Linked DNA regions of Mus musculus: regions 1, 3 and 4 are each reported to be linked to region 2. The links are microRNA targets in miRTarBase. Many come from high-throughput screens and were not tested one by one. Region 2 holds a microRNA gene; each other region holds the end of a gene's coding sequence.
The links. Region 2 holds the annotated microRNA mmu-miR-466k (UGUGUGUGUACAUGUACAUGUGA, at 1,883-1,905, shown strand). A microRNA usually pairs through its seed, bases 2 to 8, with sites in the 3' UTR of a target mRNA and lowers its output. Matches are read on the target gene's strand: a 7mer-m8 pairs with bases 2 to 8, a 7mer-A1 pairs with bases 2 to 7 and ends in A, and an 8mer does both.

Region 1 (3,254 bases), not on the chromosome of region 2:
AAGACAGGCCCAGGGTGGTGACACTGGGTGGTATGACCCGGCCTTCAGTGTTGGGCTGAGTACGTTCCTTACAGCTCAGCCAGGCCTTGCCTGTGTGCCAGTCAGATCTTGAGGTTAGTGGGGAAGGGCAGCAGAGGCATCTCTCTGCACATGAAGTGACTATGCATAGAAGGAGACATTCCTTGCCTTTGCCACCCCCTTCCTCCAAGCTAACGGTGTCCTGACAGATCTCTTTGTCAGGGGTGTACTGTGCTTCTTCACGCACCCCCTTCAAAACTTGCTGTAGCACTCCCAAATACCACCCCTCCCCCCTTTCCCCTCTGAGCTGGGTAGGTGTGAGGGCATCAGCCAGGCCTCCTGCCGCTGACCCATGGACCACCACTCAGGTTCAACAAGCTGGCTGTGGGCTCCGTGGTGGAAAGCGCCTTCCGGAGGCTGAAACACCTGCAGGTCTTGGACATTGAAGGCAACTTTGAGTTTGGTAATGGTTCCAAGGACAAAGATGAGGAAGAGGAAGAAGAGGAGGAAGAGGAAGATGAGGAAGAGGAAACTAGATAGGACAAAGTGACATGGATGAAACCCAGGTGGGTGGTCTGTGCGGGTGTGAAGGCACCTCTCACCACTCCCTGCTGTCCCTGACCTGCCTTGGCTTTCTGTGTGTCAACTTCACCCTGTCTCTGTTCTATCCCTTCATTTTGAAAACCTGTCATTTCGTTTGCATGCAGGATTGCACCATGTGAGGTGTGTGTGTGTGTGTGTGTGTGTTTGTATGTGTATGTATGTGTGTATATGTGTATGTGTGTTTGTATGTGTGTGTATGTGTGTATATGTGTGTATGTATGCGTAGGTGTATGTATCTATGTGTACATGTATGTGTGTATGCGTGTATGTGTGTGTGTATGTGTGTGTATGTGTGTGTGTGTGTGTGTGTGTGTGTGTGTGTATGTGTGTGTGTCTGCTTGCCCACAGAAGCCAGTTTGTGCTAAGGCATTTACTCTAGCTCAGGGAGATGAGTACTGTGCTGGGAGATACTCTGGGGTACAGAGACTCCTAAGTCTGGGGCTCAGAGGAAAGGCCTGGGCTGGAGATGGGAATCTCATCACTGTAGGCCTTGAGATAGGGCTAGATACTGAGGGGCTAGAAGAGCTTGTCTAGGGCAGGGAGGGAGGGGACAGCCATAGGTAGTTAATACATACACATACATGTAACACAAGCATCTACACATGTGTACATATATACATACTTTAGTCCAAGACACAATCATAGGCCCATATCTGTGTGCACACATGTGCCTATGGATATATGCATGGAGGTGTGTCTGGGTACCTATTCACACAGGCTTACATATGACCACACTCACACACACACTTAATACATTCATGGACTTCTCTAGATGTAGGGGGTAGGGGACTAAAACTGCTTCAGTACTCAGAGTCTGGAGGTGGGTACTGCTGTCCATAACTGAATGTGTCTACATGGAATGCTTGTGACGTCATAGGGAGCAACTGAGGGAGAGGTGGGGGTGGAGAGGATGACTGGGAAGGCAGGGAGTGCAGTAGCCAAGGGGAGGCCACGTAAAACTCAGGTAAAACTGTTTGGCACTCCTTTTGGCACTGGTGGCAAGGATGCTCATGGGATATGCTGTGGAGGGAGGGTAGTGCATTGAGCAGCATGGGTATGAGGGCTGCTGGAAGGATTGCAGGAGGTTGGTAACTGTCCCAGTGTGGAAGGAGGGCCAGGGAACTGAGTGGCTGCCGTCACAGTCAGGCTTGATGGTTGGGTCCCAAATCCCATCAGCCCGAGGACCTTGGCTTTCTATCCATGGCACAGAATTGGATTCCTTATGGCTGGCTTTTTGTTCAGGTTGTGGCACTAGGCTTGGTAAGAAGGAGGGGCAGATGGACATATTGGTAGCAGAGGCATGGGGAGGAAGCTGAAACCTGGGAGGTGATAGCAAGTGTCCAGGCAGAGAGCAGTGATCGGAAGGGCTAAGGTTAGGTAGGACTTCAGGGAATGTGCTGGGAACTATGAGGCCAGGGTGTGGCCATGGCCACAGTGAGGATATTGACTTGAAGTAGAACATGGAACAGAGGGGAGCTGGTAGTGGGGGGAGGGGGGTTGTTGATATATAGTGACAGCTATGTGGACGGATGATGGAGACAGGGTGTCCACTCATGAGAGCAGGATTTGTGACAGGGCTGTGAGCCTGGAGGGGCAAACCTGACTCCAAGGCCAGCCGTCGAGGTAGAGTCTCTGTCCTGAGGCACAGTCCTTAAAAGCCAGGGGTCGGCAGGAAAGGGTGATTGCTATCGCATGAGGACTGCTGGTTCTCATGAAAAGGACTGTGGAGTTCTGGGGTGAGGGAGAAGCTTCCCGCTTTGTGGAATGTTGGCCATGGTTAAGTCAACTGAATGGACTGCTGGAAGAAGCCCCAGGGAGCTCTGGATTCAGAGCTGGGAACCTCCTGGTTCTACACTCCCAGGGGCTCCTCCTTCTTCCCACTCACAGCAGCCTGGCTTCTGACACCCCCTTACTTTGATCCACTTCACCAATGGCTGGTTGTAGCTAGTCCTGACTCTCCAACATGTTCCACAGGACGATGGACTACCGGACTCCTTTCTGCAGCCCAGGCCTGTGCCCCATGAGCGCCCCCTTCTGACACACCCAACGCTGAGCCCAAGAGGCACCCGAAAGTCACACGGGCTGAACACAGTCTCGTGTCCCACCCCTTCCAGCAATGTGTCACACAGTCAGACACGTGCAGATACCACTTCACCACCACGCCCCCAGTTTGGCCACGTAGATAGCCAGCTGCATATGACCTTCCAAACTGGCTCTCTGCACAATCTCACACTGACACACACACACACACACACACACACACACACACACACACACACACACACACACCCTCACCTCTGAGTCCACACTGGCCTGGTAGACTCAGGCAGCTACCCTCTCCCCTATTCACTTACACAGAGTGACCTATGCTACCAAAAGCTCTTGCTTCCAGACAGCTCTGGTTGGAAACAGTTGGCCATGTGCCTTGTCCTCTGGTCCCTCCCTTGGAGACGCAGGGTTGTCTCCTTGCTCTGTGGCCGGGTGCTTTTCACTCTTTGAGACGCAAAAGCTGGCTTTTGTTTTGTGCCTTCCCTATGGGGACTTGAACCTTCTGCCTTCGACCACAGCCTCACCTCCTCCCCCCAGGTGCTGGGCACTCCTACTGCTGGGAGTCCCTTTTTGTTGTGCCCTGG
Region 2 (3,254 bases):
TCATCCAGGGATATAGCTGACAGAGAAGAGACATCCACCCCCATACACACATCTCATCCCATCGTCTCTAACATCTGCATACTTGCACTTCACAGCTCACAAGTCTAACCTTCCCAGGTAACTGGCCCATTTGGGTCTGGTGTACCTTCAATCTCTCTTTTTTTATTTTCTTAAAAGAAACATTTGAGAGCTGAGCATCTAAGATGGCTTTGGATTCACACCCACTGTCTGTGGAACAGCTTGAGGCTGACAAGATTAGCTCGCTGGAACGCTCTGGGATCCGTTCAGCCTAAGCTGCTGCCCACACACCAGCCTTGCTCACAGAAGCTGCTTTCCGCAAGCAGCAGCCCGCTTCACCTCCTCCATCCTGGCTCGTGGAACTGGTCCTTGATGTCCTACCTGGTCTTGAGGACAGTGGCTTCCAGCCTCAACCAGTCCTCATTCCCAGATTCCAGGATGTGACCATGGTGATGTCTCAGCCTCTCCAGAGGAGTCCGAAGGGTGATACTTCTGTCCTTCCTCCTCCCATGTCTAATCACCTGATTTTACAGAACCCAGCATAGCGAGCAGTGCTGCAAGCTTCCTTCCCCTCCCTCGGCTCTCTTCTTCTGTCCCTTCTTTCTGTAATATCCAAGGGGACCAGACAGAGTGGGCCTTGATAACACACATTCCCTTGGCTCCAGAGCAGTAGCTTCTAAAACCTGTAAATAAGACAGCTCTATGCCCCTGTGTAGACATACACCCCAAGGATAGGCTGGCTCCCTGGTACCTGTCCAGAGTTGAGAGTTCAAAAGACAGACCAGTGGATAGAAATGCTATCATGCCCACCCACCCCCACCCCGCCAAGCAAGGCCTGCTGGCTCATGTACCTGGCCAGACATTACATGAGCAACGGGCAGTAATTGTTGTCTAATCTCTTCCCAGAGGTTTCAACTAGTTCCAAACTGTTGTGGCTAATAAAAACAGAGAAGATTTGCAAGAAATTCCAGGTGCATCGGAACACTTTGGGGGATTGTGCAGCCTGCAGGCAGACGAAACTTAACTCAAATAAACATAAGGTAATATGTGTTGGCAAAAGTAACCTGAAGTGGGAGTATACAACTGTACGTTTCAAATTGGCTGCTGCCTGTAAGGATGGAGATTGGTAGTAGCTCAGAATGGATGAAGTGGGCAGAGTAGCCAATGTGCATCCCAGAATAACCGAGGCAAATCAGATCTCATCTCACACAGACCCCATCAGTGGCCCAAGATGGAGCACATGACAGATTCCGCAGTCCCACTTTCTACTTTAAGGATGAGGAGACATCGTGGAGTGGCCTCCAGATTTAGGGGTCTCCTGTGAGCCAGGAATGTGTGGTCATGTTCTCAATGGAGCGAGTAAAAGAAAGTGTCTGTTTTTGTTCATTGAAGTCATTGACTCCAAGCCCTGGAAGCTGCCATGTTACCTCCATCTGCTGCCTAACTCTCAGGGCCACATTTAGATAAAGAGCCGAACTTCTGAACTGCAACAGCCCTGGACTTCAGTCAATTCCCTACTTTCTTACAGAAAAGAAAATATTGAAAAGCTGTATTATGGTGTCTTATATGAATGTGCTAGTTTCCAGGATGGGAGGGGCTGTATATTCACCTATATTCACACACATATACATGTGTGCATGTGATATACATTCATGTACACCCTCCTATAGAAATAAGTGTATGTGTGTGTGTGCATGCATATGTGTATATGTGTATGTATGTGTGTGCATATACACATGGGTGTGCATGTGCATGAGTGCATGTACGTGTATATGCATGTTCTCTATTGATATGTGTGTGTGTGTGTGTGTGTGTGTGTGTGTGTGTGCAGGTGTGTATATACATATATATGTGTGTGTGTGTGTGTGTGTGTACATGTACATGTGAGTATGTGTGTGTATATGTTTGTACATGTGCATGTGTGTGAGTATGTGAATATATGTGTATATGTGTGCATGTGCATGTGTGTGTATGGTGAGTAGGTGTTACTAATTGTGACTCCGATGGCTGTGTCTCCATCTGGCCTAGGTGACAGGTAAGCAACTGCACTGATCTTTCACAGGTAGCAGCAGCCTTATAGGGCAGGAGAAGACTGGCACCTCTGCACTGGCCGTGACCTTACCTGCAAGCCCCCGAGGAACAGGAGCTTTTTTACTCCTCCATCTTCTGGCTTCCCAAGCAGGTGCTGATATCTTGACAGGGAAGGGGAAATGCTCTGTCCTGGCCCTCTTGCCTCACAGAACTAAAAGCTAAACATGGCTTCAACTACCTCAGCGGCTTTCTTCTCCCACAACCACATGCAGTAGAGAGGCCCAGCGCTGCAGAATACATCTGTGATAGGAGAGGAGAGCTTGGATCTGGAATGTTCTAGAAAGTGATGGAATAATTTGAAATCCAAACTGTCTAAAGGCTGAAGAAGAAAGGAAGCCATTGCCACCTGCAGGAAGCAGCCAGGTCCTTTTGACCTCTCAAAGTTCTTGGCTGTGAGGTTCCATCATTCAGCTGATAAAACAGAGGAACAAATGTTACACAGGGAAGTTCACAGGAAAAGGGTCAGTACAGAGTGTGCAGAGCTTCTGGTGGTATAAAAGCCAGTCACTGAAAACTAGGGACATGTCCTCAGTCCTTGAGACCTGAAGTCATCTCTTCTCTTCTAAGCATCCATTATACCCAGGATTCCACAGCCCTAGGCCTTCTGGAAACAAACTTCATTTCCCCAAAAATTGTCTGCTACCCTAATGCCACCGGAACAAGTTTTTTAGCTCTTGGGTTATAGCTCAATGATGAAACACTTGCCCAGCATATACAAGACCCCAGATTCCACCTCCAACAACAACACAAAGCACGCCAGTACATCTCAGCCTGTGCAGAGGCTCAAATTTCGAAGGAAATAGGAAATAGATTCATTCATTCATTTAGTGACTCTTTCTCTTCTGCTGTGTATGAGACGCTGTGTTAGGCAACACCAGAAATAAGGTAAAGATTTAGCAGGTGACCACAAACGAGAAAGTGCAGTGCGTTCTCCACTTTAATCAGAGCAAGCCAGCAAATAAAATGTTCTAGGCAGTTTGTCTTGGCACCAGCCACAGGAATTTACCTGTGACATCCTAATAAAGAGGACACTGAGACATGACATCCACAAGGACTTGATTGGCTCTCCTGGAGCTGATTGTGCACACCAACCCCCAGGAAATAAGGCCAGGAGGTCTGTGGTGAAGCCTGAGTGTCCACGGTCC
Region 3 (3,254 bases), not on the chromosome of region 2:
TCTGGCATTCAGCACCCTAGCAAAAAGGTCACCTGCTGCTGCTGAGCCCCTTTGTGGGGCTTCTCAGATGCCAGACCCACTAGATGACTCTCAGGAGCTCCATGGAGACCTGGCGGAAAGGCTCCTTCCGCAATGCCTCCTTTTTCAAGCGAATCACCCTGGGGCGGCCACGGAGACTGCATCGACAGGGCAGCATACTTAGCCAGGCCAGCACTGCTGGTGGTGACCATGAGGAGTACAGCAACCGGGAAGTCATCCGAGAACTGCAAGGGAGGCCAGACGGCCGGCGTCTGCCCTTGTGGGGGGATGAGCATCCCCGAGCCACCCTACTGGCCCCACCCAAGCCCCCACGCCTCTACCGAGAGAGCTCCAGCTGCCCCAACATTCTGGAGCCCCCAGCAAGCTACACAGCTGGCTACTCGGCCACCCTGCCTTCAGCAATCTCCCTGACAGGGCCGCTTCACCAGTGCTCAGAGGAGGCCCTTTCGGACACTCCCCACTTCCCGAGGACACCTACTCCGGACCTCAGTGACCCTTTCCTCTCCTTCAAAGTGGACCTGGGGCTTTCACTTCTGGAAGAAGTTCTGCAGATTCTAAAGGAGCAATTCCCAAGCGAGCCCCACTTCTGACCTGGTGAGAGTAGCGAGAACTGGGGTGACTGGAGGAATGGCGCCTGTGGACCCAGGCGAGGAAGGTACAATGTGGACTAAAGAACAGGTGGGGACCAGAAGCCACAGTTCTCCCTGCCCTCTGGCTGCTGACCAATCCTTCAAGTCGCCCAAAGTGAAGGGGCAAAAGCCAGCTGGGAATGTATGGGAGTCACTTTCTGGCAGGAGTCCTGAAGGAAGCTGGAGAGACCAGGAAAAGGAAACTCCAACCTGCAACCACGGAACCAGTCAGAGGTCAGTGGAGAGACAGGCAGGCACAGGGGCGAGCCAGGAAATAGGACTCAGCCTGGGCAGAGCAGCCTCTAAAGACCACGTCACAGAAACAGAAAGTCACAGGCCAGTCTAGGAAGACATAGTCTAACTGAGATGAAAGGGAAGTGGGGAGGTCAGAGAGGCAGGACTAGACAAGTCACCACTTACGGCGCAGGACTGTTTAATGAAGGAAAAGCAAACTGAGAAGTCAGCTCCAGAGGCTGAGGAATGGCTCAGTGGATACAGTGCTTGCTATGCAAGCAGGAGGGCCTGAGATTAGACCTCCAGTACCCGAGTATAAAAGGCAGGCAGGGATGCTAGCCCATCTGGAATGCTGGTGCTCAGGTTGGAGAAGCTAGGGATCCCAGGGGCAGCTGCCTGGTTAGGTTGCCAAATCGGCACAGTCCAGGCCCAGCAAGAGAGCCTGCCTCAGAAAATAAAACACCGAGAACAATTGAGAAAGACATCTGAAATCAACCTGTGACCTCCACTTCACACACACAGACACACACACACACACACACACACACACACACACACAGACTCACAGACACACAGACACACCATCCAGACACAAACACAAAGAAAATTTCAGTTATTTTTCATCCTAGCAAATTTTTATTTGTTTGTTTTTGAGATGAGGTCTCATATGTAGTGAGGGTGGCCTTGAACTTCTTATCCTCCCACCTCCACCTCCGGAGCCTGGGATTACTCATGTGTGTGTGTGATCAAACCCAGGTTTTTTTTTATGAGACACTGGGGATCAAATCCAGGGTTTCATGTATGCTAAGCAAGTACTCTACCTAAATGAGCCACATGCCAGCCCTCTAGCCACATTTTAAAGATGTTTTCAAAAATTATTCTTAATTGTGTGTGTGTGTGCACACAAACAAGTATATACAGGTACATGCAGAGGGCAAAGGTGTTGGATGCCCCTGGAGCTAGAGTTACAGGCAGTTGTGAGCCACCTGATGTGGGTGCTAGGAATTGAACTCAGGGCCTCTAGAAGAGCAGTATGTGTTCTTAATTGCTGAGCCATCTCCCCAGCCCACTTAGGCACATTTTAAATCAACAGCCACATCTGACTGACGGCTACTGTACTGGATGACAGAGCATAAACACCGACACTGTTAGACCAAAGTCCACTGGATGGCGCTGGCCAGACACAGTATGTAACCATCAGAAGCTTGGGCAAGGAAGGAAAGTTGCCAGCTCTGGGCTGCAGGTGCAGGAGGGGCTGACAGCAGGAGAGGTAGACAGAGGAAAATGCAGGGGAAAGGCCTAACATCATTAGCAAACACAGCATGAGACTCAAGCTTCCCACAGATCTGTAAGCAAGTACTCTAGGAAGAAGCTCCTGGAACCAGCAGCTGCAAAGGAGTGCTCTGGGAACTTCCACAGGCATTGTATGTGGAACCTCTGGGAAAGGCTGCAGGAACAGTACAGGGATAACCAGATCAGAAAGGACAATGCACCACCAAGAGGCTCCAGGATCCTCCACCAGGCCCAAGACAGGGCAAGGCTACAAACTGTGCTACTCCCTGCCCTGTGGCTGGGTCAGATCTGAATCCAGAGCCCAGAAGCACTGGACCATGTGGGTCTGGCCTCCAGGTCACTCAAGTGTGAAAGAAGGGTAAAGGAAGCTGTGACACACACTGCCTGATAAATCCACATCTGTGACATCTCTCTTTCCTGTTCCTGTGCAGAGGTACTCAGCTTCAAGCCTCCTCTGGAAACAGGAGGCAACCAATAAAGGTTTTTCTAATATGACCTACAGAGTATGGTCTTGGATGTGAAATGCTGAAACTTTCTAGTGGGGAATGAGGCTTCTTTTAAGCTAGGATCTTGTAGTGAGAACCTTGGTTTCTTTTTAAAAAGCACAGAAATCTGACTATGCTTTCACTTTAACCCCCGTGTGGCATGGGGCTGTCCACAGCTGACTATGCAGCTTGTCTCTAGCAGGGGCGTGGTTGTGCCAGCTGCAGATGGTTTCTGCAACTGTGTCACACTTGGAATTCTGGGGCCTTTTTAGAGAATATATAGTATATATTCTGGGCCCCGAGAGGCACGGTGGTTAAGTAGTCTTGCGCAAAGAACAAACATTAAGGAAAAGAAATGTGCTATCCTGACTGATGAAGTCTCTTGGGGCCCCTAGTCAGGGATCTCTTTCCTTTCCTCTCTTCCCTCTTTTTCTCCATCTACTGTTAGAGGGTTGAAAGGGTGGGAGAAAAGGCTGGGGAAGGATGGAAGAAAGAACCCACAGAGTAGCAAAGGCAGCTACAGGATCCTGGGCTGACCTCTACATCATTCATGTTCCTCCTCCATCAGGACCTG
Region 4 (3,254 bases), not on the chromosome of region 2:
GCTGTGGTGGGAAAGGGCTGGCACAAAATTGGCTTAAAAAAGGGGAATTGATTGAGTTCTAAGTGGACAGCGGCATGGCATTCTTTCTTGTTCTTTTTACTTCTGTGAGGCGCTAGGGATTGAATCCAGGGTCCCGAACAGGTCCTGCAGCACTTTTCTTTCCTTTCCTTTTTTCTTTTTTTTTTGGTTTTCCGAGACAGGGTTTCTTTGTGTAGCCCTGGCTGTCCTGGAACTCATTCTGTAGACCAGGCTGTCCTCGAACTCAGAAATCTGCCTGCCTCTGCCTCCCGAGTGCTGGGATTAAAGGCGTACGCCACCACACCCGGCCTGCAGCACTTTTCAAATAATGCTGTCTACTATTATATCTCCCCAGAATTATAGGATTTTATAATTATGGTTATGATGCGTGTGTGTGTGTGTGTGTGTGTGTGTGTGTGTGTGTTTGTAGGATCTTACTACGTAGTTCAGGCTGGTCTGGAACTCAAAATCTTTCCTCTGCCTTCCACGAGCTGGGATCGCAGGTGTGTACTGTCAGCACCTAGCTGGATTTTAAAACTTAATCCTTAATTTATCTTGGAAACCAAGTTAAACCCTTCATCTCCTATCACTGGAGCTGTCTTCCTCAAGTGATTTAGCTTTGTTTGGCTTAACCATGCACAGACATCTTTGAAATAGGAGAACCCAAATACAAGGAAGCCTTAGAGTTCATGTTTAAATTTTTTTTTATTATGGTGGCATCATTTACTTTGGTAAATTCATATTCTGATTTTAAAATGCCTCAAAGCAAACAAAACTCATTTACAAATTCAAGTACTGCATGTTACACACAGAATAGCCACACAGTGGAACTTCTCTAGCAAGCTGTTAATTCACAATGCCCAGTCCCAACACTGCAGTAGATTGCACTAAATGTATCGCTTTATCGTAATTGTTGTTGCATAATGCAGTAACCAGTACAATGGCTAATATGATTGCAGTCAAAGCTTTAATAAAGTAGCAGCATTTAATGATGAATACTCCCCCTCCCTTTTTTTTTTCCCTGAGGTCCAGACCCAGTGCCTCCTATGTGCTAGGTGAAGTTCTGCCACCTTGCGGTACCCCCAGCCTGAAAGAAACATTTAATGTGTAGGATGCAATTTTAGGTCAGGCGCTTATTCAAGAATAAGTGCTTAATATGCTGTTGTAACATTGAAGAACAGCATCGTTCATTTTTACTCACTAACTAGAGTGAGTCAGGCTGAAGGCAACCTGGAGTAATGAAAAAGGGGAACGTTAAACCTCTGGATTACACTAAAAGCTAACTAATGTAAGTTCCTTGTGGCTAAAGCATATTTACTAGTCAACATATATACACACATGTGGAGAGGGAGGGAGGGGGAGAGGAGGGTGGGCTTTGAAGGCCCCACTAAAATGCTAATATAGCTGTAGCCCTTAGATGATACTTGAGCTGAGAACAAAGAACAGTGGCCAATGGTTTGTACTCCTTATTTGTTGTTGTTTAGGAAAAAAAAAGCCTAAAATATCTAAATGTCGTAAAACAGATATCTACTATTTAAGGTCTCAAAGTAAATGTACCTGCATTAAACAAATTTAGGTTGTTTTTTAAAAAACAAAACAAACTTTGCAATGGGGCTAGAGAGATGGCTCAGAGGTTAAGAGCAGTGGCTGCTCTTCTAGAGGTCCTGAGTTCAATTCCCAGTAACCACATGGTGGCTCACAACCATCTGTCATGAGATCTGATGCCCTCCTTCTGGGGTGCAAGCATATATGTATAGCAAGTAAATAATAACAATTAAAAACAAAACCAGAAAACAACTTTGCAACAATTTTTCACTTATTCACAAATATATTTTACATCTCTATTTATTACAGTTTGAACAATTTAAAATCAAGTTCTGCAGGCACTCTTAGCTCAGATAGCAGTACTATGCTGTTAGCTCACAGAAATGACTGCAAGGACTATTTCTCTGAGTTCATAGACTCTTTCCTCTCAGGCCCATAGCACACGCTACTCACACTTCATTTTGCAGATGGTGAGCAGCTGGGTAACTGTCCTGGTAACTGGATTCACCACAATCTCAATGTGCTTTAAAAGGTTTGTACAGCTGGAGTGTGTGTATGTCCGGGTGTGTGTGTGTGTGTGTGTGTACAACCTTTAACTTTCAACAAACTAACTCTCCCGATACTGATTTTTAAAAAGCTTTAAGATAAAGATATAGAGTAACCCAATTTTATTAATAATCAAAATTGCCTTGGAGAGTGCTCTACAGTCCATTCAGAATCGCTCATGGATGGAACACTTCGTCATTCCCAGGGTTCAAATGATTGTCTCAAAAGGGAAAGTCCTAAGTGAATACTGAGTCTGCTCCTTAAACAGTTTGTTCCTAACTGCTGCCTTTTTAGAAGTGGAACATTCTAGGTTCAGCTGGTCCTGAAACCACGGAGAGTAACTCACCGTAGCTCTTCAGTTTTCAAACAAGCTATTTTGTTTTCCTTGGGATGTTTAGCTTTTGAGGAAAATTACAGGCTTAATGAAGCCACCTTAATACTTAAAGTCTCTGATAAAGCTCGCCAGAATAAAGACTATTTAGATGACAAATAAAACAGAATCCACACTGGATTTCTGATTTATTTTTAAGCAGCCCCTCTCAAAAAACAAAACAAAACAAAACAGCAAAAAACCCCTGCTCATCTTTGGAGTCCTAGCTGCAGCATCTCTTACTTATGTGTTCTCTGAAGAGAGCCAGAGCCCACAGCATCTTAACACTATCTATCCATGTAAAATAACTTACACTTGGGACTGGGGGTCTGTATGGCCTACATAGGTCCATCCTGGTGCCCTTGCTAAACACTCTCTCTGGGTTAGTTGGTTCCTGGTGGGGGTTTGATGGAGGGAATACTGCAGGATCTTCTCATGATAAGTCTGACTTCGATATCTGGCAGATTATCTTGTCTACTCTCTAAACAGCCCTCATCCGTGGCTGCTAGATGGAGATCAAACCGGAGAGAGACGGACTTTTTCCTCAGTCGAGGGTTATCTTTAAAGAATGAACCTTCCCATTCTTTTATAACTTCATCCACTTTCTCTGTCCTGAAATGAGAAAACAAACTCGTTTTTACAGAAGAAGAAATAGACGCAATGTATAGTTCATATTCATGAAAGAGAAATGTGTATAATGTATAGGGTGTAGGATTTTAACAGTTTAGATGATTGTATTTCATGTGTGTTTTGTCTGCATGTATGTATGCCTGTA

Region 1: miRTarBase lists Podn as a target of mmu-miR-466k. Seed matches in the 3' UTR shown: 7mer-A1 at 2,857-2,863, 8mer at 2,858-2,865, 8mer at 2,860-2,867, 8mer at 2,862-2,869, 8mer at 2,864-2,871, 8mer at 2,866-2,873 and 19 more.
Region 3: miRTarBase lists Gm14137 as a target of mmu-miR-466k. Seed matches in the 3' UTR shown: 8mer at 1,414-1,421, 8mer at 1,416-1,423, 7mer-A1 at 1,425-1,431, 8mer at 1,426-1,433, 8mer at 1,428-1,435, 8mer at 1,430-1,437 and 15 more.
Region 4: miRTarBase lists Krt222 as a target of mmu-miR-466k. Seed matches in the 3' UTR shown: 7mer-A1 at 2,142-2,148, 8mer at 2,140-2,147, 8mer at 2,138-2,145, 8mer at 2,136-2,143, 8mer at 2,134-2,141, 8mer at 2,132-2,139 and 5 more.

The regions. Positions count from the first base shown.
Region 1 is chr4:108,015,037-108,018,290 of GRCm38, reverse strand. It overlaps Podn (podocan), which reads left to right. Exons shown (of 13, transcript NM_172874.4): 12 at 387-584; 13 at 2,596-3,254. The coding sequence ends at 558. Among named protein-coding and RNA genes, the nearest start is that of Podn, 15 kb to the left of the region's middle.
Region 2 is chr3:85,465,514-85,468,767 of GRCm38, forward strand. It overlaps Mir466k (microRNA 466k), which reads left to right and starts at 1,864; the gene lies at 1,864-1,985. All of the region lies in intron 1 of Gm31419 (a long non-coding RNA gene), which reads right to left.
Region 3 is chr2:119,174,879-119,178,132 of GRCm38, forward strand. Gm14137 (predicted gene 14137) reads left to right here. Exons shown (of 1, transcript NM_001039223.4): 1 at 1-2,690. The coding sequence starts at 102. The coding sequence ends at 629. The region is part of intron 10 of Dnajc17 (DnaJ heat shock protein family (Hsp40) member C17); the gene reads right to left. Among named protein-coding and RNA genes, the nearest start is that of Gm14137, 2.0 kb to the left of the region's middle.
Region 4 is chr11:99,232,057-99,235,310 of GRCm38, forward strand. It overlaps Krt222 (keratin 222), which reads right to left. Exons shown (of 6, transcript NM_172946.3): 6 at 705-3,091. The coding sequence ends at 2,863. Among named protein-coding and RNA genes, the nearest start is that of Smarce1, 2.7 kb to the left of the region's middle.